Lonchura striata: one gene and its partners. The protein of the gene in region 4 interacts with the protein of the main gene of each other region in a pairwise test. Links are inferred from orthologs where the notes say so. Each region holds a gene or a part of one and is shown on either strand. Other genes may lie near its edges. The genes, in order: RUSC1, SERF2, CCNK and RBPMS.

Region 1 (7,340 bases), on a different chromosome or scaffold from region 4:
CTTCTGCCTGGCGCTGCTGAGCGGGGCCAGCCCGGCCACGTGCCAGCACAGGGAGTGCAGGGAGCGGGTGCTGGGGCCTGTGGGGTGCAGAAGAGCACAGACAGCCACTGCCCAGGGCACAGCAGCACGCCGGGCACCTGGGGATGCCCCCAGCCTCGCCCTCACCTGTTTTCACAGAGGCTTCCACCACGCTCCAGGGGGAATTTTTCCTCTGGCCCGTGATAACATCCTTCTGGAAGGGCTTCAGCCCGTCCTCCACCAAGGCGTAGAGCGCAGGGCAGAGGGTGTGCAGCAGCAGGTAGCCCACGTCGGGGTTGAGCCGGCTGTCCCCCAGCTGGGCCTGGGGCAGGCACAAGGAGAGGGGAGGGAAGGGCAGGGCAGCACGCGACCCTTGGGAGCGATGAGGGCATCCCAAAATCCTTCCAGCCCAGCTCTCACCTTCTGCACCAGGTTCCGCGCGGTGCTGAAGTGGGCGATGACCTTGTCCACAGCAGAGCTGACGGCCACCAGCAGCGCTGGGGACAGCGGGAGAGGAGGAGCAGAGAAGGGTCAGCGCCCAGGAAGGACCGGGCGGGCCCGGGGCTGTGCCAGGGCCGCAGCTCGGGGCACGCTCGGCGGGTTTGTGCCGCGCTCTCCCGGACCAGCGGCAGCGCGCCCGGCGCAGCAGCGCTGCCCATCCCGGCCCGCACTGTCCGTGCCCCAGGACACCGACCCGGCCCGGGACGAGCCGCTCGCACCCCCCGAGGGGAACGGCCTGAACGGGGCACGCTGCGGGTCCCGCTGCCCGCTCCTCCCCTCCCGTTCCCCGCGGAGGCTCCGCGGAGGAGAACTTGCCCCAACCTTTGGTTTGCTCGCCGTGCGGCCCTTCCGCTCTTCCCCCGCCGGGCCGGGCGGCTCCGGCGGCGGCTCCGGCGGCGGCTCCGGCGGCGAGCGGCTCGGGGCTGGCTGCAGAGAGCGGGGCGGCGGGGTCAGGCGGGGCGGCGGCGCCCGGGGCCGGCGGAGGAGCGGGGCCGGCGGCGGGGCCCGGCTCGCTGCGGCTCATGGATTCACGGGGCCGGGCCGGGCGGCGGAGGAAGCGCGGGGCGGAGCGGCACCGGGACAGCCCCGCCGCGTCCCGGGCCGCGCGATGCGGGGGAAGCCCCGGTTCTCCGCACCCCGGGATCGCTGCCACCGCTCGGCCCCGCAGCCCCCCGGCAGAGCCCCGGAGGGACCCAGACTCACCCCCCGTGCGGGTCTCGTCTCCTCCCGGAGCCGCCCGCGGCACCGCGGGGTCCCCGGCGGGACCCCCGAGCCTCCGGAGCGGGGCGGTGCCCAGCCCCTTTTCCCCCTTCTCCACATCCCTCGGCTGCCCCTCCGCGATGGGCTGCAGGCTCGGCCGGGGTCTCCTCCTCAGCTGGTCGCTGGGTGCCGGCACGGGCTGCGGGCCCGCGCCCGTCCCCGCGGGCACAGCGGGGCGCTGGCCCGGCTCTGCCCGCTGGCCCTTGGGCTGCCGGGCGGTACTGCGGGACCGCAGCTCCTTGAACGTCGTCACCTCGCGCTGCCCGGAGCCGGGAGGCCCGGCCGGCCCGTCCTGCCGGGGCTGCGGCTGGGGCTGGGGCGGAGGCCGGGCTGGCTCCCGGCCCGCGGTGCCGGCGAGCAGCTCGCTGGTGGGGGGCAGCTCCGTGTCAGGCGAGAACACGATCAGCCAGTCACTGCGGTCAACCCTGGCCTGGGCGAGCGTTCCGGCCGCGTTCCTCTTCCTCCTCTGGGCCAGCTCGTGGAAGGAGGTGATGGTCTTGGCGCCCGTGTCTCGGCAGAGCTCACCGGGCCCGGCCCGGGGCTCCGGCGGCTGCTCCGCTCTGTGCGCGTTGAGGACCTGCAGCCGCCGCCGGGGACGAGGGGGCACCGGCGGGGGGAGGCCGCCGGGCCGGGGCCGCGGCTCCGGAGCGCCGCTCGGGATGCCGGGGTCCCGCCGCTCCGGCACAGGCGGCGGTGCTGGGGGCGCGGCACCGGGCTCGGGGAGGGGGTTGCAGTTGGGGTCTAGGTCAGGGCAGGTGCCGGCGGTGTCCTGTGCTGCTGCTGCTGCTGCGCTGGGAGAGAGCTCGTCGCAGTGGGAGTCGAGCGAGTTGTTGCTGCAGAGGCTGTCCGGGCTCTTGCTGGCCACGGCGGTGGCTCGCAGGGACACCGGGGAGTTGTGGTTGGCATCTCTCCCATGGCACGTCCTCTCCTGGTCAGGCAGACTCTCTCCATCAGCCAGAGACTCTCCATGCCAGGCGTTTTCTGTGGGAATGACGTTCAGCTGCTTGTCAGGAGATTGGGACTCTGCTCTGGCGAACTCCTTGCAGTACACCGAGACCGGGGATTCATCCAAGCTGAAATCCGAGCAGCTACTGACAGAGGAGGAGGAGGAGGAGGAGGAAGAAGCCAGATCACAAGGGGGATCACAAGGGGAAGCCGCCTCCTCCTCGTCTCCGCTGTGCAGGCAGGGGAAATCCTCTTGGTTCTGGAGCCCGAGCGTCTCCAGCTCCGGAGCGTGGGACTCACAGCAGCGGCATTTCACCGAGGGATTGTTGGAATTGGCATCCACCGGCTCCCGGTTCTCCGGGCACTGGGTGCAGCCGGTCTGCTCTCCCCCGGCCGTGGAAGCATCCTGGAGCTCGGGGTGCCGGGAGAGGTGCAGCCCCAGGGAGATGTGCTGCAGGTGGATGTGGTTGAGGTTGCACAGGAGGCCTTTCTTTGGAGCCAGCATGGCGCTGCCTCCTCGCTGGAAGTGCCAGGGCTCCCAGGAAAGGCCAGCAGCTCCTCTCTTCACACCATCCAGCTCCCTGCAAGCACCAAACACCCTCCTGGCCGAGGAAGAACCCAGCGGGACAAACCTGGAGAGAGGCACAGCCGGGGGAAGAGGGATGGCAGTGACCTCGCAGCAATGGGTCTGGGGGTTAGCCATGGGGATGTGCCCTGAGGGAGGGGCTGCCCCACACCTTCCTGCCGGGCTTGGGGCTCTGCGGCCGGGCAGGGGCCGAAACCAGCCGCTGCTCCATGGAGCGTGGCCTGGGAATGATCCCAGCAAGCTGGGCTGCTCCGGGGCTGGATTCCCTCCGGAGCATCGGGAGCATCTCGGGGATGCCGCCAAGGAGAAAACGCCCTTGGAGCCTCGTCGAGACGGGGGGGCCGGGGGAGGATGCTGCCCTGGCTGGGGGCGGTGGCACCACGGGTGCTCAGGGACCAAGGCTTGGCTGGAATCCCCCGGTCCTGGGAGCCGCTGCGGAGCCGCCACCGCACCACCGGGCCTGGCCTTACCGGGGGGGATGGGGAGCCCCGGCCCCGGCTACCTGCTGGAGGCTCTGGGCAGGGAACGGGAGACCGCGGGAGGGCGGCTCCGAGCATTCCCCAGCCCCGAGCACCCCCCGGCTCCGAGCATCCCCCGGCCCCGAGCACCCCCCGGCCCCGAGCATCCCCCGGCTCCGAGCACCCCCCGGCCCCGAGCATCCGCAGGCTCCGAGCATCCGCAGGCTCTGAGCATTCCCCAGCCCCGAGCACCCCCCGGCCCCGAGCATCCGCAGGCTCCGAGCATCCGCAGGCTCCGAGCACCCCCCGGCCCCGAGCATCCCCCGGCCCCGAGCACCCCCCGGCCCCGAGCATCCCCCGGTTCCGAGCATCCCCCGGGCGCAGGGCGAGGACCGGCAGCCAGGCAGCGGGAGCGGCCCTCCTGGGCGCGGCCCTCTTCATCCCCCTCCCGGCTCCATCCCCTTCCTCCCGTCCCCCGCTCACCTCGGCGCTGCGGCGGCGAATGCGGCTGCGGGAGGGAGGGAGGAGCCGCGGCCCCGCCGCCGCCGCACCGGGAGCCGCCCGGTCCCGCCCCGCCGGCGGAGGCGGCGCTCCGGGCATCCCCCCAGCCCGGAAAGCACGGGAGGGGTCCCGCCCTCCCTCCCTGTCCCCAGACCACAGCAGGCAGCGCCGCGGCTACAATAATTTATGTTTATTCACACACGGCCGGGGGTGGGGGGGGAGACGGCTGAACCCCAGCCCGGCCACCCCATCGCACCTTCTCCAACCCGCCGCGACCCTTCCCAGGGCAGGGAGCCGCTCCGGGCGGTCCGTGCCGGAGCCCAGCCCCCTGCCAGCCCCTCCATCACTTCTGCCGCTTGTAGATCTTCTGTGCGAGGTCCAGGAAGATTTCCGCGGGCAGGCGCTGGGCGTGCTTCCCGATCAGCTCCTGCAGGCGCCGGTAGCTGCTCTCCTCGTACTCCCGGAAAGCCGCCTCCATGCCCAGCGCATTGTAGAGCTCCTTCACCCTGGCCACCTTCTCGGGCTCCTTCGAGCCGTAGTTTTCCTGAGAAAACGCTGGAGTGAGTCCCAGCTCACGGCGCGGAGCTTTGTTCTCTCTTCCTCATGCTCACCCCCCTCCTCCCAGCCAGGTAGCAGCGCCTGGCACTCCAGGTGTACACCCAGGCTTCTCCAGCCCCTCTCCCAGGTGAGGGATCCAGGATTTTACCTCCAGGATCTGCCTCTGCTCCGGCGTGGCCCGGCGCAGACACTCCACCACCAGCCAGCTGCACTTGTTGTCCTGGATGTCGGTGCCAACCTTCCCCGTCAGGGCTGGGTCCCCGTAGCAGTCCAGGAAATCGTCCTGGGTGACAGTGACGACGCCTGAGTGCCACCAGCCAGCGCCGGGCAAGCACCCAGGGGTGCTGAGGCAGCTCCTACCTGGATCTGGAAGAACTCTCCCATCTCCAGCAGGATGGCTTTGGCGTTCTCGTGCTCCTCTTTACTGTCAATGCCTGCCTGAGGGGAGGGGAGGAATAACAGGGATAAAAAAACCTTCCAGGACTACAGATAAAGCCTTCCAGGACCTGGGATAAAGTAAAACCTTCCAGGACCTGAGGATCAAGCCTTCCAGGACCTGGGGTTGAAGCTAAACCTTCCAGGACCTTGGAAAAAGTAAAACCTTCCAGAACCTGGGATAAAGCCTAGCCTCCCAGGACCTGGGGATAAAGCAAAGCCTTCCAGGACCTGGGGATAAATCCTTCCAGGACCTGGGGATCAAGCCTTCCAGGACCTGAGGATGAAGCCTTCCTGGACCTGGGGATAAAGTAAATCCTTCCAGGACCTGGGGATGAAGTAAAGCCTTCCAGGACCTGGGGATGCAGTAAAGCCTTCCTGGACCTGGGGATTAAGGCTTCCAGGACCTGAGGATGAAGTAAAGCCTTCCAGGACCTGGGGATGCAGTAAAGCCTTCCAGGACCTGGGGCTCACGCCTTCCAGGACCTGCCGTCCCAGCAGACTCACCATGTACATGGCTGCGGCCACGGGCAGGTAGAAGGAGTAAAACGCCGTCTTGTACTTCACAATGGCCTTGTACCTGTGCCAGAGGGAGCAGGCTGAGCCCCGAGGCCACCTCCGCCCCCCTCGGGGACACAAGGGCTCCCCAAAACCCCAAAAACCAGCCCCAGGCTCAGCTGCTCCCCAAAAACCAACCCCAGGCTCAGCAGAGCCAGGAAGGGACCGAGCTGCTCCCCAAAAACCAGCCCCAGGCTCATCAGAGCCAGGAAGGAACCGAGCTGCTCCCCAGAATCCAACCCCAGGCTCAGCTGCTCCCCAAAAACTGACTCCAGGCTCAGCTGCTCCCCAAAAACCAGTCCCAGGCTCAGCTGCTCCCCAAAAACCAGCCCCAGGCTCAGCAGAGCCAGGAAGGAACTGAGCTGCTCCCCAAAAACCGACCCCAGGCTCAGCAGAGCCAGGAAAGGACCGGGCTGCTCCCCAAAATCCAACCCCAGGCTCAGCTGCTCCCCAAAAACCAGCCCCAGGCTCAGAAGAGCCAGGAAGGGACCAAGCTCTGCCTCTGCCACCCTTGGGGACAGAAGGTGCTCCCCAAAAACCAGTCCCAGGCTCATCAGAGCCAGGAAAGGACCAGGCTGCTCCCCAGAATCCAACCCCAGGCTCAGCTGCTCCCCAAAAACTGACCCCAGGCTCAGCTGCTCCCCAAAAACCAGCCCCAGGCTCAGCTGCTCCCCAAAAACCAGCCCCAGGCTCAGCAGAGCCAGGAAAGGACCGGGCTGCTCCCCAAAAACCGATCCCAGGCTCAGCAGAGCCAGGAAGGGACCAAGCCCTGCCTCTGCCACCCTTGGGGACAGAAGGGCTCCCCAAAACCCCAAAAACCAGCCCCAGGCTCAGCAGAGCTGGGAAGGGACCGGGCTGCTCCCCAAAAACCAGCCCCGGGCTCTGCCTCTGCCCCCCCGTACCGCTGCTCGCTGAACCTGCTCAGGTCCACCTGGGAGACTGGAGCAGTGATGAGGTCCAGGGTCTGCCCCAGCTCGGTCTGGTAGCCTGTCTGGAGAGGAAAGAAAGGATCTGCGGCCCCCCTGTGGCTTTGCAGTGCTTCAGAGGGGTGTAAAAAAGAGGGAGGAGGATGTTTTGAACGGGGAGAATAAGAAGATAAAGGCTGGTGGCTATGCTGGATCAATGATGTTGATATTGGGAAGGAATTCCTGCGCCCAGAGAAGCTGTGGGTGCCCCTGGAAGTGTCCAAAGCCAGGTTGGAGCAAGCTGGGAGGTGTTCCCGTGGCAGGGGAGTGGAACAAGATGCTCTTTAAGGTCCCATCCAACCCAAAGCAGCGATTCCATGATTTATTCACAGAACCCTCCAGGAAAGCCCCAGCACAGCACAGTGCAGACCCCAAACTCCTCTTGTTCAGCTCCTCTTTGGCTTTTGCCAGGGTGCATCCAGCAGGACGGCCAGCAATGCAAGGAGCACTCCGAGACCCACATCAGAAAAGGTCCGACGTGAAGGCTCAGACCCCCCAAAAAAATCAGGAAGGGGTTTTGGGGAGCCGGGCTCACCTGCAGGAAGAGCTCCAGCAGGTGCAGGTAGTAGGGCTGCTGCCCGCAGTACCTCCTCAGCAGCCGGTACACCGAGGACTCCAGCAGAAAAGCATCATTGATGGCATCCAGCCCGATCCCCTCCTGCACCAGGGAGGGGAGGGAGGTGTCCCAAACCCTCCTGACCCGCAGGGGACACCCCCCCAAGATGGGAACAGGGACGCTCTCACCTTCTTGTACCAGCAGAGCTGCCCCCGGCGGGTCAGCGACGCGTCCATGATGTCGTCAGCCACCAGGAAAAAGGCTTGGAACTGCGAGAGGTTGGATCAAAGATGGGTAAAACCCCCGGGTGTTGACTGTGGGGTGGCTTTGTGCGGTGGAAAAACTTTTTTTCCCCCCTAATTTATGCTTCCCGTTGTTTGGTTTTATGGTTGTTTATTTGTAAGTTCCCTAAAAGATTTGTCTTTTTGGGCTGCTGTGGTTTGCTCAGCAGCTTAGGCAAAGGTTTACACACTCTTGACATCTTCTTTGTTGGTGTTTTT
Region 2 (5,235 bases), on a different chromosome or scaffold from region 4:
CATCTGGCCCGGTGAGGAGCCCAGGCTGCCGCGGGAGCCGCCGCTGTGCTGTCGGATCGGGCTGATGCCACTGCTAGGGCCCTGCAGGGAGGTGAAAAGGCCGACGGGCACCGGCCTCGGCACTGGGCCGGATGTCGCCGCCGCCGGCCGGGCAGCTGCGGCTAGGCCCGCCCCGGCCGTGCCGCAGCGCGGCCCTCCCCCGGTGCGCAGGCCCGGCCGCCATCTCTCCACCGCCGCCCTCCGGCCGGCCCGGAGCCCCGGCTGCGCCCCGGCCCGCTGCGGCGCCACGCCGTCCAGCTCCGCTGCTCCAGGCTCCCCGCTCTCCCTCCGCCCCGGGGCGCTCGGCCTTCAGCCCCCGCTGATCCCCGGGTGCTGCCCCAAGGGCCGCCCAGGTCCGACCCCACCTTTGTTCCTCGCCGTCGAGATGCCGCCGCTTGACTCCCCGCGGCCGCGATTGCTCCGCCAATAGCCGTGCTCACCCACCCCCCGCCCGGCGCACGGACGAGCAGACGCAGCGTGCAGGGCTCCACAGCTACTTTAATAGGGGACGGCGCCACCGGGCGCGGGGCGATGCCGGAGGTCCCGGCGGGACCCGGCCTGGGGCGGCGCGGGGCATCCTGCCGGCGGGACCGGCCCTGGGGCGGCAGCCCGGCGCGGCCGCCCGCTACTTGTTGCCCTCCTTCTTCTCGTTGGCCTTCTTCTGCTTCTGCTGCATGATCTCCGAGTCCCTGCGGGGAGCGCGGCGAGGCTGGCGGCGGGGCCGGCACCACCGCGGGGCGGGAGCAGGGAGCGGGGCAGGGGAAGCCGGCGGGCCGGCCCGGCGCTCACCTCTGCTTGCGGGCGGCAGCCGAGAGCCCGTCGTCCCGCCGCTTGCCCTTGCCCGAGTCGCTCTGCTTCTTCAGGTTCTTCTGCCGCGCCAGTTCGCGCTGGTTCCCGCCTGCCACAGCGCGGCCACCTCAGCGCAGCCCGGCCCCGCGTACCGGCCACCCCCCATACCCCGGCCCGACCACCGCCCGCCGGCGCATCACGGCGTGGCCCCTGACCCCGGCCCCGCCGCACTCCCGGGTCCCAGAACAGCCTCCCACGACACCTGTCAGCCCCAGCCCCCTTTCCTTCCTTCCCCCCAACTCACGGGTCATGGCGCCGCTCCCTCCCACCTCCACTCCACCGCCACGTCCCGCACTGACCCCCCCCGCGCCCCGCCCCGCCCCGCGCTTTAAGGGACGCCACAGCCAATCATTGCGCCGATCCACCCCCCGCTGCACTCCCATTGGCGCGTCTCTGCGGCAAGGCCCCGCCTGATTGGCCGCGGGCTATGGCCTCCCTGCTGCCGGCGGGGGCGAAAAAGCCGGAAGGTTCGGCGCACGCGCCGCAGCCGCCTCCGCGCGACAGGATGCGGAGCGCGGGGGGACCGCCCCCCGCCGTGACGTCACGAGGCGTGCGGGAGCGCTGCCAGGCTGGGAGAGCGGTGCGGGCGGTGCGGGACGGGGCCGGCGCCGTCCCGCCCCTCCCTCAGCCCTCCCCACGCAGATTTCTTCTCCTCCCGCGGGAGTGCGGGGCGATGTGGGGAGGACGGTATGAGAACTCCTCTATCTCTTCGGTCAGGCTCTGAGACGCTGCGGGGCCGCTCAGATCTCTCCTTCCGCCGAGGGCGGTGCGGGGGATCTACAGGGAGGGACGGCTATAAGCGCTATGCGCGCCAAGAGGGTGCGGGACGGGCATCCGTCCCTGCACAGCCCAATTCGCCTACGCACGCGGGGCTCGGCGGCGGTATCGGGTCGTGGCGGGGATTCTGCGGGCCGGTACCGGATGGAGGGCTCTGGCGCTTCGCCAGCCGTGAGAGCTCGGTGTGGATCACCTACGGACGAGGTGCGGCTGCGGTGGGACACCCGACCCACCAAATGCTGTAGGATCCTCTTCCTCCCCGTCGCTTCAAGTACCAGGTGCCGTAGGACCACCGCCCGCCCTCGCACCCCGCCTCCCACACCTTGCTGGCCGGGTCCAGCTCCAGGGCTCTCCTCAGGACGAGCGCCGCCTCTGCGTCCCGCCCCTGCTCTGCCAGAAGCTGCGGGGAGAGGAGCGGACGGTAGCTGGACGACTGGGCCTAGGGGAGCGGGGCGATGCGGAACGATGCGAGTCCCACCTGCCCGCGCCGGACCAACGCCCGACCGTTGTCGGGGCTGATCCGCAGGGCCGCCTCGCAGGCCGCCAGCGCCTCTTCCGTCCGCCCCAGCTTCAGCTCGGCAGCCGCGCAGTTGTTGAGGCACTTCACACGCTGCTCCCGCAGCTCCTCTTCCTCCTCGGGCCCGGGCGGAGCTGCGGGGCGAGTTGCGGCCTCAGCGCCCCAGCTCCACAGCCCCGGGCCCTCCCTTCCGTCCGGTCTCACCGGCGGCGGGGCCGTCTAGGGCACGCAGGGACAGCCGGTACGATCGCAGCGCCGCGGCGAAGTCACCCCGCGCGAAGTGGAAGTTGCCCCGCTCCCTGCGCTGCGAGCCCAGGCGCAGACGGACGGCGGGTAGCAGCGGCTGCGGGTCGGGGCCGTCCCGCACCTCCAGCAGCGTCACCTCGAACAGCAGCGGCGCCTCGGGCGGCACGTCGGGCTCCCTGCTGGTACAGCGCCGGCTGCCCGCGACCCCTGCCCTGCCGGCGCCACCGGCTCTGGTCCTGTCCTCGCCCGTCCCTCTTGCCTGCCCGCCCCGGTCCGTCTGCCCTCCCGCCCCCTGCCCGCTCGCCTTACCTGCCCGGGCGGCCATAGGCGTAGGGGAAAGCGGCGAGGAAGAAGGAAACCTCCCCGGGCTGCATGGTGGGGACGCCCAGCTCCAGAGCCTGTGGACGGGCACGGTGGGGCTGGCGGGTCGGGGCCCACGGCGGCGCTGAGCTCGCACGGCACTGAACCGCGCACCGGTTCGGGCTCACCTGCACGACGTCCCCGTGACCCGGCACGAAGATGAGCCGCGGGTCCCGCTCCACCAGCCCGCCGTCCTCCAGGGCGCCCAGCAGCTTCACGGACACCTCTTGGCCCGGCAGCGGCCGCGGCCCGCCCAGCCCGGCCCGCACCACGCGTTTCCGCAGCAGCCGGTCCTCTGCGAGGGAGGAGGCGCTAAGAGCCAAGCCGGGAGTCCCGAAATTGGCATTCCTTGCTCCACTCTGTCCGGTCCCGGCCTGGGCTGGCCCTGAGGCCCGTCGGCACTCACCCGTCAAGTCGCTCCAACTGTCGGAAGCGAAGAGCGGCCCGAAGCCGCCGGGCCCCGGCACTGCCAGCGCCTCCAGCCGCCGGTAGAAGAGCTGCTCCTCCTCGCGCACCGACGGCACCGCGATGGCGGTGTGAGGCAGCCGGAACCGCACCCGCCGGTCCCGGCCAGGCCTCCGCGGCCGCTCGCCGGCCCCCGTTTCCCTCTCCGGAGAGCCGCCGGGCGACGGGCCCGGCATGTCCGCCCCCGGCCCCCCTCGCCACCCGCCGCTACCTGCTGGCCTCGGTCCGGGCCCACGCGGGGTTCGGCGGCGGGTGCCCACGGCCCCCAGCCCGCACCGGGCGTGTCGCCGCCCGTCCCGCCGCGCCGCGACTGCCGGGGGTTGCCCGGGCCGGGGACACCGCGGAGCGCATGCCGCCGCGCCGTTACCTAATGCCGGGAAGCAGCTCAGGGGATTAGTCCGGGTCGGCGGCAAAAATAGCTGGGCCAGGGCGAGCCCCGCCACGGGGCTCCCGCCGCCCGCCCCGCCCGCTGCTGTCGCGCGTTCCAGGCAATGCCGCGGCCCGGCGTCTCCGGTACCGAGGCTGTGGGCCGAGTCTCTGGCTTATCCCAGCTACCAGCGTAAGAATCACTTTGAATGCCTCCATCCAAAGCTGTCTCATAGCAAAAGCCTAATTCTGCAAGAAGCGAGTCCTCCCAAGCAAACTGTTGCTGCAGTTTTTTCCTTGCTCATCCAGACCTGTCTTTGAAGGAGCGCCAACTGCTCCAGCTCTGAAACACCTGGGGCTAGCTCATTCCCAGCTCCGTGGAGGGCCATGGCTGCATGGGGAGAACCAGAAACAAAGACCCGATCTTTTGCTAAAGCCTGAGCCAACTCGGGGAATGTGTTACTTTAGGTGGTGGCTTCCCCCTTACCCAGGGCCAGCTCTCCATGCAGGTCTCACTGCAAGCAAGGTCTGTAGCCACCCTGTTTGCCAAGTGTTCCAGGCATCAAATATACAAATCCTTCATCAGATGCCTGTTTCTCCTCAATTGAACCTTATTCCTTCAATGCAGTTGTAGCATAGTGAGGGTTATCTAGGCAGCCACCACCACAACCCTTCCTCATCCTCTGTCCCTTCTGCCAGAAAGTTTCCCTAGGCCTGTGCCAACTTCACCCAGGCTGCTCTGAGCACCAGCAGTGATGCCCTGGGCCAAACATGCTGAAGAGTTTTACCTGTGTTCAGTGCCCCAGCTGCCACCAGGTCAACAGTCACAGAGCAGGGAGCAAAGCCAGGATTAGAACCACGTCCCTAGCTCTCCTTGGCTTGATGGAGAGCACTGTCCTGCCCAGCAAGGAAGCAGCATTCCAGTCTGGTGTAACATGGGTAATTGCCAGCTGTCAGGGGAGCTTGCTGTGTTCCTTTTCCTTGCAAGAGTGCTCCAGACAGACAGGTGCAGGGCTCCTGCCAGTCTGTGCAGGGACCACTGGACATCACATGCTCCTCCAAAGGTGCCTAGACACCCGCATGCATTAGGGGCAGAGCAGCTACCACAGCAGCAGAGCACAAAAGGGAAATGTGGTTTGAGATGCTAATGGAGCTGCAAAAGAAATTGTACTGCAGTTACTGTAGTCAAAGAAGTACAGCCTAAGCCTTGCATGAGCTACTGTATTTGGAAAACTCCAGCACCACCTGGGCTTTGAGCTGTGGGGGAGGAAGCCACAGAGAAAGCAAGCTCTGGTTCTTGCCATATTACCTGCTGCCATGAAGCAATACTTTGAGTGTGCTGACCCTCACTTCAACTTGCATTTAGTAAAGGAACACAGAATCAGGACAACAGCTCCTACCTGGTCCGCCCATCTCTTTCCCGCCCTTCCCCAAAGGAAAGCGGAACACCCTCAGATGGTCAGTCACAGCCCACACCACATGGTCTACTCCTATCCTCCTGAAGAGAGACCCACAGCTACCAGCCTGTTTCTCAGCGTGAGAAGGAATAGTTAACTGGTTGTATTCGCTCTCACCACAGCCAAGCACTTGACTGTAACAAACACCCTTGGCCCTGG
Region 3 (7,188 bases), on a different chromosome or scaffold from region 4:
AAAAGCCACAAAAGCCCTTAAAGCTGTGTAAATACTATGATCAGGCCCAGATGCAGCTGATATCGAAAGCATTTATTGTAAGTATGCAAAGTGCTGACTGTATTTCCAAGAGGATGCACATAAGGTGACTCCTGTGTTGCACCATAGCTGCCTCAGAGAAGGACAAATCCAGCAGTAGGTACACGAAGGAACAGAACAATTATCGCTTCACATTCAAGTGCTGGCATGGAGGAAAGTTACTATTCAAACCTACAAATGCAAATAAAATCTGAACATGCTCCGTATTCTTCACTTTAAGACAAATAGAAGTTTAGTCTTCACCATGCATTATTAAAGAAAGAACTAAGGAGTTTAAAGGAAGCATAGGAATATAGAAAGCAGAAAATTTAAGTGGCTGTCTATGAGGGAGTGGGACAATGGGGAGAACTTATACACAAAGTTGTAAATCCCAAACCATGAAACAAAAAAACAGCCACCAGAGACCAAGACTGGGGAGGCAGAGGTTAGAGCCTCAAAGGCCAGATTCTAACAATTTAGAAAAAGGAGGGAAAAATTCAAAATTTGAGAAGCCATGCAGATTCATATAGTGAAATACTGAGTTTCATAACTCACAGATGTTACTCTTAATTGGAAAGTTTGTATCATCTTACTTCTCTTCAACAAACTGGAACCCTGTTTATGCAATGAATGGATAGAAATGGTGTAGGAACACATTATATTGAAAGGCACTTCAACACACATATATTTTTAATTAGCAATTAAAAATCTGATCAGCTGAGCATGTCACATTTCTTGTGTATTTTATTCTGAAAACTCACTATTCATAGAGACATTTCATACCAACAATGTGTAAAGGATACAGCCCTAAACGTGTTCCCACGTCGAATATGAATCTGGCCCCTTCCCTGCGGTATCGTGCCTCTGTAGCTGGATCAAGCCCTTCAAGCTGTGATGGTGTGTGTGCCAAATCTTTCTTATCCCAGTACCAGCATGGCTTTGTATGGTCCAGGTTTGCCAAGTTCACAGAAGGGCTGGAATTTTCTTTATTCTCCTTCATTTATTAAAACAGAATTGTCTCTGCTTTTTAAATTTTCAAAAACGAAGTCTTCAGAGAGTCACTTCAGGACCTTGAAGAAAACAAAAAAGGAATTCTTTAAAAATAGAGAGAACTACCTTCTGAAGTTCCTCCTCAAAGAGGAGTAAAAAAAGAATAGTGCTTAGCCTTGCCTGTTGGAAAGAACTTGTTCCTATGCTCAAAGACAAGTAATAAAGAACTTTGCCTTTATCCTCTCCATATTTTGCAAATACAATCAGAAAAAGTAATAGGTTATCCTTGCTGTTACCTGTTTAATAAGGAAACTTCAAGAATAGATCTCCAACAATATTGCTATTTCTTAGTAGAACAACTACCATCTACTTTGTCCGTAAAACTAGGAAAAAACAATTCAGTGACGGCTGCAGAAAGATGTGGAAAGTTAGGGCGATTAGATGACTATTGGTAATTAGGAAAGGCACCGGTGAGGCGAGCCTGAACGGCCTCTTAAATACCTGCCTGCTCCCAGGGATATTGCGGGCAGCAACCACTTGGCAGAAGCTTTGTAAAGTGATCTGTACTTTTACTACTTAAAGAAAAAAAGTGTGTCAGTGTTCTTTCACATACCTAGATTAAGACAACGTGAGTTTATAGAGCAAGGCAGCATTTAAAATCATCCCCCAAACAAGGCAACCAAATACACCCCAAGAGTCTCCTACTTGCCCCTGTTTACCAGCACTTTGTGTACACAGATGCAGATCACAAAGTTCTGCAGGCACCTTTTTGGTGATTGAATTATGACAGACGTTCAGCCATGCCTCAGCTTAAAGAGTGCTTTTTTTTTCTTACAGGCACAAAACTGCTCTTACTCCAACTCAACTAACTACAGATACTATTCCCAGATTACTGCAGTCACCTGCAAAGGTTTGCATAACAGACAGACATTAATATATGATGCAATATATTCGCTCTAAGCAAGACAGTCACAGTAAGACCCAAACTTAAAACTCTTAAAATCAGTTATTACTTATCGAGACGTTTCCCTTCCGAAAACGGAAGGAAGATCCCGTGAACAGCCACAGAACGATGCCTACAATCAGCACCTCGCTCACCTTCAAAAAGTCTCTTTTTCAGAATAAACGAAACTGTCTTTGCCTCACGGTGGTTTTGGAATCACCTTCACAACTCGTGGTATCGGTCACAGACAGATCTAAATTCTGGCACAAGAAAAAGTAAATGGCTACTAAAAACTATTTCCAGACTCAACGAAAGCGCGCCAGGCCACAAGCACACATTCTCATCATATTTACTAGAAAGCTGCTTTTATAACTGCAACGACCCTTCTTCCTTACCAGATATTTTACTTTCTAACTTCTAAAGCGTTTAAAAATCAGTTAACACTAAAAGCGCCTGAAGCGGTAAGATCTTTTTCTATAAAAGCCCAAACGCATTTCCGAATACGGAACCAGGAATGAAAATTATCACCCGCAAGCACCTTAAATGAACCATGTTAAACGTCCCAATCCAGAGACCGCAACGCCCGGAAATAATAACTTTTCCCTGCCTTTTTAAGCACCCCATGAAACTGGAGAAGAACTCCAGAGCTCGATCGCGGCTTTTTCATACCTTACCCGAGACGAACGCACCGACCACAGCTCCGCCCCCGCTGCCCCAACGCGGCCGGGGATGCTCACACCGCCTCAGACCCACCCGCCCGCCCTACACGGGGCTGCCGGTGCCCGGGGAGGCGCTCGCTCCCTACCCCCGGCCTCCGCGCTCCCTTCCCCCGTTCCCCAGGCGGCGGCGGTGGCCGGCGGGCGGCCCGGGCGGGCCCCGCGCACTCACAGGGCTGCGGCAGCGGGAGCGCACCGGAGCGCGGGGCCCTCAGCGACAGCGCGGCCTGCGCGCCGCCATCTTGGGAGCCAGGCCAGGCCGCGCGTGCGCCATCACGTCGCAAGGGCGCAGCGCGCGAGCACGGCGGCCCCGCCAATGGGAAGCGGCGGCGCTCCCGCTACCTCCCGCCCAAATGCCCGCTCCGTCAGCCGCTGCTGGGCCGGGCTGCCGTACCCTGGGGGCGGACCAATCGGAACGGTAAAGGGGAAGATTGCGAGCGCAGGGACCAATAGAAACCTGAAGGCGGGCCAGCAGGGATTGAATGACAGCCAATGGGAGCGCTGCTCTGCCTGAGGGAGGGGCGGGGCCTGCTGGCGGGCGGCAGCTCGGCCAATGGCGGCAGGGCGCGCAGAGGGGGCGGGGGCGGGCGGAGCTCCGCCTCCCCACCGCGGGCAGCGGCGGCGGCGCGGGCTCGGGAGCGCCGCTCGCTCGGGCCAGGCGGGAGCGGTCGTGCCGGGAGGTAAGGCGGGGCCGCCGCGCCCCCTCCCCTGCTGCAGCACGGGCCCTTCCTCTCGACCCTCCGGGCGGCGCGAGCTCGCCCCGCTCCGCCGCCTCCTCCTTCCCCGGAGGAGGCGCCGCTCTTTCCGGACACCCCCTCCCGCCGGGCCTCGCCGCCCCTGCCTTGCCCCGCGTGGCCGGTGCGGGGCCAGTCCGGGCCTCCTTCCCCTGCGAGCCGCAGCCTCCGCCAGGCTCGGCCCGGCCTTTCCCTCTCCCGGCGCGTCCCCCGGGGCCGCCTGGGGCGGGCCGGGCTCGCTCCAGCCCGGCCTGCGCGGGTCTCCAGTGAGCGAGGCGGCGGCACCGGCGTTTTGCCTTGCCCCATCCCCCCTCCAGACCCTGATAGAAACGAGAGTAAAGCAAATGGCTTAAAACTGCTTTCCTCGTGATGTAATTAGATTTTTATTTTTTTTAATATGTGATACGGTTTGAATCCTCCCTGCTCCTACTTCATTTTCCCATGCCCCAGCTCCCGGGGTCTGGCTCAGGGGCGTCTCTGCGGGTGTGTGGCTCCTCTGAGCCCTCCTCTGGCTGGAGAAGAGTGCTCTGGTTTCTTTCCTTTCTCACCCCGTCTGCAGCCTGCTGAAGCAGAGTTAAATCTTTGGAAGAAAAAGAGAGAGAGGAGTTAAAATTAGAATAAATCGTAAATGTTTATTGACAGGGGTGTTACTCCTGAAACAGCCTCGGTATTTCAGCCTTCCCCTATTGCTACAGCAGCTGCCTGTCCCGTGAACCCTTCTTCTTCTTTCTTACCCAGCAACACTTCATTAGAGTTGCTTGAGCTGAGGCTGTGCTTTGCCTTCAGTTCTTAGCAAATTCCTAAATTTTTTTACCCTACATTCAGCTATCAGAATAACCTCAGTTTTGGAAGTTGTCCCTCATGGTTCAAAGCTGCTCTTGCCCCAAGCTTGGTATCTGCTCTTCTAGATGGGCTTGTCTTTGGAACCTAAACTGGCTCCTGAGATCAAGCTGAAAGTAGATTGTCTTTGTCCCTTCTAAGAGCATGTAATGAAGGCACCTGTACATTCAAGTGACAGCTTTGTTCTCTGAAAATTGCTACAATGTTAGCTTAATGTCTGGCAAGTGCTTTCTGCTTTCAGTTGTTGTAATCCCATAGGTGAGTAGAAAACAACTGTGGCATTCTGTATGTCCACTATCAGGTTCCTGGTACAAAATAGTAAGCCAGTGTACAAGTTGTGGGAAGGAAAGGCATGATGGACTCAAAGGCGGGGGTGGCTTCCTGATATTTTTGCTCAATTAAGTAACTTAATATGGTAGAGATTCAAGCATGCTGGCTTGTGCCTTAGTAGTTTTCAGTTATGTTTAGCAGGGATTGAAGTATACACTGCAGTAGAGTTGAAAACACATTTTTGATGTTGTGTGCTGAGAAATAGATTTAGGCTGTTGGGGGAAGAAATGCCACAAACTCCAAAATAGTTTGTAATCTGTATATCGCTATTTCCAGAGATGGCCTGATCTGTTGCTGAAGTCAGACATGCCTTGAAATAGAATTCTGATTTCAGTATGGTACAGAAATCAAAAATAGGCTGTTTTATGCCTCTCTGTATGGAAAAGTGTACATCTTGATGATGTTTTAATTATAATAAATTTATTTTGACATATCTACTGTATCTATGTAATTCTTGGTCATAGTGGTGCTGGTTATGTAGTTAATTTGATAAACTGTGTACTTCTCAGCAAGTGAGTATTTCAGTGGTTCCTCTTTCAAAAAAAAAAAACAACCAAAAAGAGGTACTTTAAGAGTACTGGAAGTCTTAAGGGATCTGTATCTTTTCTAGTGGGCTGTCATAGGGCTCAGTGCATGAGACCTCATGATGCCTGTGGCTTAAGCTTTTGGAGGCCTGGGTGGTTCTGTTAAGTCTGCCTTACTGATGGCTGAAGTCAGGGTGGCTTGCTTTACTCTCAGTTAGGAGTTATATTATATAAAGTGAGGTTAATATTTTCTAAATTAAGAACATTATTTAGGAACATGCGGGTAAAGACAGTACATAAGGGTTTTTAATTAATTCTGCTCTAAAGGAATTAGGAAAAGAAGTTTGTGGGAGTCTTCAGGAGGAGCAAAATTCAGGCAAAGAAATAAAATTACAAAAGTGGGTTGGTAAATTGGTAGAGTTTATCAGCTTATTTTCTTTAAAGAGTAAGTTTGTTTTTTTTTTTTCTGGTCAAATAGCTGTCTGAGGATCTGATTCAAGAGACAGACAAAGGAGTTAAGAGCTTGTTTCCTGTGGATAGATAACTATCTTCCCTAGAAAGATCAGGCAGGTGTTGATAGTAAGAATTACTTCATCTGCTTAAGAAAGCTTTAATGGAAGGCCAAGGGGTATAGGGACAAACCTGTGGTAAATAATGTAATAGTTCCAAATTAGCAAGCTGATAAAAGTGAATTAAGAAATACATACTTTTTTGAGCTGTTCTGTTGGATATGGACTTTTTTTTTTGCCCTTCAGCATTTTGTGCTACCTTCAAATTAATAATTTCTTACCAGAAGTTTATATTTAATGCATGAGGCAGTCTTGTGCTTAGTATGTAGCTAGGTTCAACTGGGTGGGGAGGGAGATAATGTCAAAATGACAGGACTTCCTTTTTTAGTAGATTAGTGCTACCTCAAGCATTTGTAATCGGAATACTATCAAGGCATGTTTTCTTTGATTCTAAGAATAAACATCTTTTGGAATTTGATTCCCAATACTTAGCTAAATTTGTTGTACTTGGTGGTTTTTTAAGTGTATCAAGTAAATATTTAGCTAACTTTAGTGGCTTCTTTTGATATTATTCTGTAGATTGGCTTCTTCCCAGTATCACAGTCACCACTATCACCATTGTTCTTTCCTTAACCTTACACTGTAATGGGATTAGCAGTTTGTTCTTTGCAGAGTAGATGTGTGCAGTGCATACAGCAGTGGTTCAGTCTTTCCTCTTTTCCAAATGCTTTAGGCTTGTGCTTGTGGTTGACACACCTGTGGTGGTACAGCTTTCTATAGTAAAGGGAATCATTTGATTCTGACCGTCCTTTGCCAAAGAACTTGTTGGAGACACTTCAGATTCCTAGATTTCGCTTTAGGTGACTAATAGTGTTTTTAACTTAGGCTGTTATGTAAAATATGAGAAAGAATGTCTCAAAACTAAAAGTACTGCAGGAGTACTTCATTGCTCCATAAAAATGGTCCATTAGTGTTGTCTGGTCTTAGTCGTGTGTATTTGGAGCTAGGCTTGTGTTTGTAGCAGTTAAGAGGTGACTTCATGCCCAAGTGTATTTTAATATTGCTTTGCATTTTTGGTCTTGCCCTTCCTCTGCTTTAACCTTCTTTGCTCCCTTTTTCTGTTTTTAGCTGCTCTGCCCTACATTGCCTCTTGATTGCTTCTCTTCTAACAAATGACTATTCCAGTTGCTCCATCTATCCTTGCCCTTCCTTTACCACTTCCCATCCTGTTCAGGTAGTCTGTTAATCCTTTTCCTTTCTTTGAAATAAGGAAGAATTAGAGCTGTATTCTTTCATTTCAGCTCTGGGTTCTGTGACCAGGCCAGAGCAGCAGACCTGTCACTGCAGGAGGCTTCCACCTGTGTGTCTAACCTGGGCTGCATCAGGCAGAGATGTGAATGACTGTGCTTGAGATCAGTTTTATCTCCAGTACTGGTGTTCACAGGCTCTCAAGTTGGCCAGGTGTAGGTAATACATAAAGCAGAAATAAAGGAAAAGACATGTTGCTGAGAATGTAGCTGCTAATATCCTATTAGGAATCAAAAT
Region 4 (7,329 bases):
CCTGCATCTTGTCTTGGGCCAGTTTAAGGGATACTGGAAAGGCTCTGTGGAGGTTTGCCGAGATGGTCAGTGCTGAGGACATGCCAGGAGAGGCAAAGATCTGGGCCAGGAGGTGACCGGGGTTTCCAGAGCATGGATCAAGGATGACCCCAGCATGGAGAGGTCCGTGATGGAAGCCCTCCTCCTCCTCTTCCTCACATGAAGCCACAAGCTTACCAGGTTTGTCTCCTGCAGGTAAGGAGGTACCGGGGGGGCATTTGCTTGGCTTGGACCCCCATCACACGGCAGTGCCCGGAGGGATGCCGGGTGCCCCAGTGGCAGTGTCCTGCCAGCATGGTCCCGGTCCTCTGTCCTGTCCTGTCCCGCCCTGTCCTGCCCAAACCACCCCCGGTAAACGTTAAACAGGCCCTGGGAAGGCGGGAGGCGTCCGGGTGATTCATCCACGAGGCATTTAATCGCCTCCTTCAGCCCAGCTCCCATCCCTCGTCCGTCCTTCCGTGCGCCCCTTCCAGCGGGGCTCGCTTTAATTCTCCACCAGCCGATTATCCGCTTGACTGCCCGCCGCCGGGGAGGCACCGGATCCCGGCGGCAGCGGGAGGGCGATGGCACGGGGCTGCCACCGAGCCGTGCAACCCTCCGTGTGAGCAGGGCTTCCCCTCCCGTTCCCGGCAAAGCGGGGTGCATCCCCACCCCGCCGGGATTAGTCCAGGCATAAATAATCTCTTGGCTAATGCAGCGTCTTCCTCGGCTGGGTTTAGATTCCCGGGCTGTGTGTACGCATGCCTTCAGCCCGCAAAACTCCCCGACATAAACAAGGCTGAGGCCGAGGGATGCCGGCTTCTCCGCCCGGGAGATACGGGAGGACCGGGCTAGATCTCCGGCCTCGCCACCCGCAGCCGCTCTGCTGGAAAATCACGGTTCTCGCACGTCCGGTGAAGGACGGGAGGAGAGGAACAGCCCTTGGGGAAAAGCGAGTCCAGAGCTGCCGGGGCTGGAACGAGGAAGCGGCAGAGGAAAAGGCAGTGAGCAGCCAAGGGAGCAGATGGGGGATTGCAACAGAGCGGAGGAGCGGCGGGATCAGGCGCGGGTCACACTCGTCCCTGTCCCGCCTGGAGCTTGCTCCCAAACCCTCCGGACCCCACGCTTCAAGGAGGAAAGGAAGCAGGAGCGCGGGGGGATGCAACGCAGGGGCCACGGGGACAGATTTTATCCACTCGCTGGACACGTTCCCCCTAGAAAGCATCCCTGGGGTCCCCTCCCCATGGCACGGCTCCCCCGGGATGAGGGATCTGGCATGGGATGGGGACGAGGGCCACGAGCCGGGCTCTCCGCAGCCACTCCGCTACCAAATAAGGCCTCCGCCGAGCCTTTTACATGCCGTTCTCGCCCGGCCAAAGTGACGTGACCGCCTTCCCAAATTGTTCTGGCTCCTACGTGGGGAAGCCCCTGGCCCACAGCTCCCCTGCACGGGGGGTGTCCTTCCCGGGGGGGACAGGCGAGAGGGACGGGGAAGCCACCCGGGCGCCAGGAGCAGGCGGGAGGAGCGGGCATGAAGCGGGGGCTTTTCCCACCTGGCAGCACCCCGACTGACCTCCCCGGCATGGGGGCTGCTTCTCCCTCTTTTCTGAGGGAACAGGAGGCTGCAGGCAAGCCCTGGGAGTGGGGAGGTGAGGCACCACAGTAGCTGAGTAACCCCTTTCCCTGCGCTTGAGCAAATAGACAGCACCGGCTTCTCCAGCCTGGGCTGGAACAAGTCCTGCCAGGAAAATACCTGCCTGGCACCGGAGCAGCGCGGCTTGCAGGCAGGAGCGGGCATCGCCCTCCTCGTGTGTCCTCGGCTCTGTGCGTGTCCCTGGCACCTCCCAGCCGTCCCGTCCGGGTGTTCCCCATGTCCGGCATCACCGGGTCAGGGGGTTCCCCTGGGCGACAGTCAGCCCCCGGCCCTGCGGATCTGGCCGGGAGCAGAGCGAGGGCTGCCTTTTGCCGGCATGGGTTTGGAAAAGGCCATGCTTTTGGAAAAGGCAACAGGCCTCCATGGGTGTCACCCATGCCATGCCCACCAGAGCCGCAGCATCATCTCCCACACAGTCCGCCAGGCCACCAGTGGAAAAAAACTCCACGTTTTTTAGGAAACTTTGGGAAGTTTGAAGCCAGAACCACCTCTGGAATAAGCAAATGAAGGCAGGCGGCAGCGGGCGATGGAACTGCGGTGATTGATCCCAGCGTTGGCCACCAACCAGGGAGCCCAGCAGGGACCTGCTGGAGCAGCCCAGCCGGGTGGAGGGTAAGGAGGAGGAGATCTCCGATCGGAATCTTCCCGCTCTCACCCTGGCAAAGTCCAAATTCCCATCTCAAGGTCACGGGCAAAACCAGGAACTTTGCGGCTGGAATGAAGCAAACCAGCACTCACCGTGACGGGGTGTGGGGTTGGTCTCCCGTGGGGATGGGAGCGTTTCGGATATTTTTGGGGTGAGACTCATGGGAAAGAGATTCACAGCCGCTGGATGCACAGTACCCACGGGCACCGGCAGCACCAGGCACCGGCAGCGGGACCGGGGAGTGCCTGATTTATCCCTCACGCCCCCCGGGGCGATCCGTGTCACGCGTGGGGCTCCCCGCGCCCGCAGGTTTCCTCCGGCGAGGCGGAGGGGCGTTTGCGGCGAGCCCCAGGGGGATGCCGGCGGTGAACGGGAGAGTCCCGGGGAGCGGGGATGCGCTCCCGCCGCTCGTCCCTGTCCCCCCCGCAGCAGCCCCGGGTACCGGGAGCCCGGTGCGTGAGCACCCGCGGAGCGCAGCTCCCGGGGATCGCGGGTGGGGAGGGGGAAGCCGGAGCCCCTCCGCCCCAAATCCCCGGTGCGTGTCCCCCCCGGTACCTCTTCCTCGGGCAGGCTGGTGTCGGCGGGGCCGCCCTCCCTGTCGGCGGGGACGCTGCTCATGGTGCGACCGGCCAGGCTCCTCGTCCCGCCGGCGGCAGCCGCGTCCGGGCGGGCGGTGCTGGGGGCTGGTCCCGGCGGCGGCGGGGGGGCCGGGGCGGGGCGGCGCGGCCGGGGAGGGACGGGGCGGGGGCGCGGCGGAGCGGCGGGGACGGACCGGGCCGCGGGGGGATGGAGGAGCGCCGGGATACGGGAGGTGGGCGATGCGAACGCGGGACACAGGGCTAGGGACATGGGACACAGTGCCATGTGGGGCCACAGGACACGGAGTTGGGAATTCAGGGCAGTCCTGGAGACATAGAAGACAGTCTAGGACGTAGGGGATACCGGATACAAGGCTGGGGACATGGGGCACAAGAATGGGGAGATGGACACAGTCTCAGGGACATGGGACACGGGCTGGGGGTGTAGGACAGGGCTGGGCAGACGGGACACAGTCCTGGGGACACGGGACAAGGCTGGGGACACAGGACGCAAGGTTAAGGATACAGGACAGCACGTTGGGGACATGGTGCACAGACCCAGGGACATGAACGTGTTACGGCTGTGGGGCAGAGGAGGGGACCCGGTGCAGGGCTGGGGGCAGTGGAAGGACCAGCGGGAGCTCATCACCCCAACCGGCCCCACCTGGGGGCTCAACCCCTCCCTGCCCAGCCCGGGGACTGCACTTAGGCTTCATGCTTAGGCTAGGCTTTTGCTGAGCCTGCGCTGGACCTGGCATCGTGTACGCTTCGTTCTAGAGCTCGGTGTTGGGTCGTTCCAGCCCTGCAGAGCCCCGGGGAGGCGGCTGTGACCCTCGGGGTGGAGAGCAGCAGCTGTGTCAGCCCAGGTGCTGCCCGGGCACAGCGCTCGGCCGGAGGTGACGCCGAGGACATCCTGCCCGGGGCACAGGGCTCCTTCCCAACGGGCCCTTAAGGTCACCGCCTGCCTTTCTGCGCCTCACCAGCCGAAACAGACCTGGGGGCAGGTGCCCGTCTGTCCTGCCGGCTGCCCAGGGGACACAGCCTGGCCACCCACAGGTTTGCATCATCCCCGCGGCAGCGATTCAAAGGACAGAAGGAGGTGAAAATGAGCTGTGCCAGCTGGATTTGGGGAAGCGGGAAGTGTCTGGCTACAAGGCAGCTGAGCCTAGAGGGAATCTAGAGCACAGGGACTGATCTAGTCACCCAAATCTGCTGGAACCTCTGGCTTTTGGGGTAGATTTTCAGCAGGGGGGAAATTTAGAGATGTGTTTTATCTCTTTGTTTTCCCCATCCACAGGCATCTAGACAAAAATCTCTGCTTGGACAGTGCACGGGACAATACTCACAACCCTTATTTGGACTCAGCTCTGGGGAAGAGCTGCAGCTGCCCAGCAGCGCTGGAACCCAGGTTGGAATCACAAATCAGAAAAAGGGGAGGTTTGGATTTTTTGTAGCCATGAAGCTGGACTTGGGGAGAAAATCCAATTTGCTCCAGCAGATATTGCCCCGCTTCCCTGCCTTGAACCCCCCGACCTGAACCCAAAGCCTCATGTCCCACAGAAGTCTGGGTTTCTCTGTGTTAGCTGCTGATCCTATCCCCTCTTCCCTACAGGAATTTCTGCTGCATGGATGTCCACCTGTGTTTCCCACCCCGGGGCCCGCGTGGATCCGGGACGCGGGGCCGGGACCCCCGGGGAGCGCGGGGTCACACCGCCCCCTGCCGGCGCGACGGGGCGGCGCGGGGAGGTGGCACCGGGCTGTCCCCGGCGGTGACACCCGCCCCGACAGCGCCCGTGCGACCCGGGCACCGCACCCCGCACACTCAAAGGGCTGCGGTTCCCTCGGACAGCAGAACTGGAGGCATTTTATTCCCGAAAAAAAGCACAAACAATAGAGCTAACGCGTGAGCGACGACAGACTCGAAGCAGGTCTGAGAATCCCAGTGGAAGAAAAAGAAATGACACAAACAAGGAAGAAATGGTTTGATGGAATGAGGGATGTGGCGACCGGACTCTTCCCGGAGTGTGTAGTGCTTCCCAGGACCAAACACCCAGCTGGGCACGGGCAGCATGAGGTGAGTGCTCAGCTCTTGACAGGGGTGGACGCGGCCTTCATGGTCTTCTTCAGGTGGTGGTAGTTGGGCAGGATCTTCATCAGGAAATCCAGCTGCAGCGTCTGGGGCTGGAAAGGGAGGCAGGGGAGGTGAGGGAACAGCCAGAGGGTAGCAGGCCGAGGGGACAGGAGGTGGCAGCGTGTCCCCACGCACCTGTGGCCGCTCGGTCTGCACGCGCCGCAGGCAGTCGGCCCCGTAGATGACGGTGTTCTCCGGGATCACCTCGTAGGTGTTCACGTTGCAGCAGGCCCCGATGATGCAGCCGCTCGTCAGGATCACGTTCCTGCCAACAAACGCTGCCAGGGAGAAGGGAGAGAGAGGAGTCCCTGTGAGAGCTGTTCCCACAGCATTTATAGGAGAAGAATCTCAGCAGGGCCAAAGGCCCCAAGCTGAGAATTACCTTTGGATTCAATGACGTTGTTGTCTCCTACCTTCATCGCTTGGGAATCTACAGGTCTGTGTTAAGTAAAACTGTAAAATGCTTTGCTTATTTTCAGCAGATGAAAAACCCTGATGCCATTTTCAAACCACCACCCAGCCCTGAGCTATCTGAACCCTGACAGATCCCCAGAGATGCCTCCCCCTGGAGGGATCCAGAAGCACAGTGTGCTGGATGGTTTGTCACTGCACAGCGAGGATACAGCACCCGACCTCAAAAACATTGTTGGTGCCAATGACCATGGGCTTGGGCTCCACATCTTCGCTCTCTGGGGTTATATTTTCTGGGTACCTGCAAGAGGGAAGAACAGATTTCCACATCTGAGATCATGATGACAGTGCTCTGTGGGGCAGCTCAACTTCGTGACAGACTGAAGCCACAAATATCCCATCCAGCTGAGCTGGACTGTCAGAAATTTGAGACTGCTTAGGATTAGGATTCTTCTACTCTGTCAGCTTGAGAAGAATTCAGAAGGGGGACTTAGCATCCAGTATCTGAAGGGGGCCCGCAAGGAAGCTGGAGATGGACTCTATCAGGAACTGGAGTGACAGAACAAGGAGTAATGGGCACACACTTAAAAAGGGGGAAATTAGGTTAGATATACATAAGAAAATTTTTACTGTGATGGGGTGAGATACTGGAATAGGTTGCCCAAGGTAACACTTGCTGCATCAACCCTGGAGGTGTCCAAGGCCAGGTTGGACAGGGTTTGGAGCAACCTGGGATAGTGGAAGGTGTCCCTGCCTATGGCAGGGGGGTGGCATGAAATGATATTTAAGGTCCCTTCAAACAATGAACATTTGTGATTCTGTGGCTTCTCCCCAAGCCATAGTGCCACACAAAAGCACGAAGTTTGGTGGTTTCCTTTTTAATAAACTCCACCTCCCCAGGGTTTTTAAACCCCCACCGGGTGTCCCACGGACCCGTTGATGATGAGCGCCTGCTCCTCGATCAGGTTCCCCTCTCCGATGACGATGGGCCCCGCCTCGGCGATGATGCGGGCCTTGGGATGGATCACGGTGCGGGGCCCTGCGGGGACAGCCCGGCGTCACCCCACGCCCGCACCGCCGGGGCCGGGCCGGGCGGGGGGCATGGCCCTTACCGATGGTCACGTCCCCGCGGATCTCGCTCTCCACGCACACCACGGCGCCCGGCGCGATCTTCACGCTGCGGGGAGCGGTGGCGCGGTCACGGCGGGCCCGCCCGGGGACCGCGCCGAGGTGCGGGGAGGGGACGGCGCCTCCCGGGGTGCTCGTGGGAGGGATCGGGGGAGAACCGGGAGGGACCGAGGGGGGCACCGGGACTCACCTCTTCTGCACCTTCTCCGCCATGGCCGCGGCCGGCGGCGCCTGCGCGGGGCGGAGCTCCGGGGCGGCGCGGGCGGGCCCGGCCCCGGCGGCGCCACCGCGCGGCCCCGTCGCTCCCCGGTACCCGGGAACGCCGGGATCCCGGGGCAGGCGGGGAAAGGGGCGCGGCTGAGCCAGGCGCCTGGAAAGGGAGAGCGAGTCCCGTGTTTGGGGCTTCAGAGAGGGTCCTGCGTGTTCGTGCTTGAGAAACAGACACCGAGGCCCGTGTTTGGGGGCAGCAGGCTCTTTTGGCCCTTTTTAGGATACTGAAAAGAATAAATCAGGCTTTTTTTTATTCCCCCCCTCAGAAATGGAGACAAAATTCTGGTTTTTTTGCTGGGCGCTCCAAGTCCCGCGTTGTTGCCACTTGGAGCCAGCCCCAGCCGGGCAGTCTCAGGGCAGTGAAACAGACTCCAGCCCATCTGGGGAGTGCGAATGGAGGCTCATCCAGGCACTTGAATGGTTTGATCAGAGGGCCCAAATCCTGATTTTTGGGGTCAGGGCAGACCCCAGACTGGGGAAGGGGGCGCTGCCC

Evidence for each region.
Region 1: the proteins of RBPMS (region 4) and RUSC1 interact in binary tests that used the Homo sapiens proteins (3 or more experiments, as listed by UniProt). The two-hybrid records come from large-scale screens. The link is inferred for Lonchura striata from reciprocal best matches to the Homo sapiens genes RBPMS and RUSC1.
Region 2: the proteins of RBPMS (region 4) and SERF2 interact in a two-hybrid assay, tested with the Homo sapiens proteins (2 studies listed by BioGRID and IntAct). The two-hybrid records come from large-scale screens. The link is inferred for Lonchura striata from reciprocal best matches to the Homo sapiens genes RBPMS and SERF2.
Region 3: the proteins of RBPMS (region 4) and CCNK interact in binary tests that used the Homo sapiens proteins (3 or more experiments, as listed by UniProt). The two-hybrid records come from large-scale screens. The link is inferred for Lonchura striata from reciprocal best matches to the Homo sapiens genes RBPMS and CCNK.

What each region holds. Positions count from the first base shown.
Region 1 is NC_134635.1:1,835,199-1,842,538, reverse strand, and holds the start of RUSC1 (AP-4 complex accessory subunit RUSC1), read right to left. Parts: upstream 3,008-7,340; 5' UTR 2,927-3,007; coding exon 1,222-2,926; intron 946-1,221; coding exon 841-945; intron 516-840; coding exon 439-515; intron 341-438; coding exon 166-340; intron 78-165; coding exon 1-77. Other genes in the region: FDPS (farnesyl pyrophosphate synthase), read right to left, coding at 4,112-4,312, 4,475-4,609, 4,687-4,764, 5,269-5,341, 6,222-6,310, 6,820-6,942, 7,029-7,109. UniProt on the Homo sapiens protein: Associates with the adapter-like complex 4 (AP-4) and may therefore play a role in vesicular trafficking of proteins at the trans-Golgi network. Signaling adapter which plays a role in neuronal differentiation.
Region 2 is NC_134613.1:24,446,457-24,451,691, forward strand, and holds SERF2 (small EDRK-rich factor 2), read right to left. Parts: upstream 1,204-5,235; 5' UTR 1,140-1,203; coding exon 1,133-1,139; intron 938-1,132; coding exon 829-937; intron 729-828; coding exon 665-728; 3' UTR 518-664; downstream 1-517. Other genes in the region: peptidyl-prolyl cis-trans isomerase FKBP8-like, read right to left, coding at 1,691-1,858, 1,988-2,065, 2,144-2,316, 2,387-2,604, 2,738-3,083, 3,195-3,429. UniProt on the Homo sapiens protein: Positive regulator of amyloid protein aggregation and proteotoxicity. Induces conformational changes in amyloid proteins, such as HTT, driving them into compact formations preceding the formation of aggregates.
Region 3 is NC_134608.1:12,582,839-12,590,026, forward strand, and holds the start of CCNK (cyclin-K), read right to left. Parts: upstream 3,011-7,188; 5' UTR 2,879-3,010; exon of another isoform or gene 2,796-2,878; intron 2,745-2,795; exon of another isoform or gene 2,610-2,744; intron 2,251-2,609; 5' UTR 2,146-2,250; intron 1,128-2,145; 5' UTR 1,058-1,127; coding exon 861-1,057; intron 1-860. UniProt on the Homo sapiens protein: Regulatory subunit of cyclin-dependent kinases that mediates activation of target kinases.
Region 4 is NC_134606.1:72,057,198-72,064,526, reverse strand, and holds the start of RBPMS (RNA-binding protein with multiple splicing), read right to left. Parts: upstream 3,005-7,329; 5' UTR 2,937-3,004; coding exon 2,874-2,936; intron 1-2,873. Other genes in the region: DCTN6 (dynactin subunit 6), read right to left, coding at 4,979-5,077, 5,163-5,305, 5,410-5,457, 5,651-5,739, 6,372-6,477, 6,551-6,615, 6,757-6,779.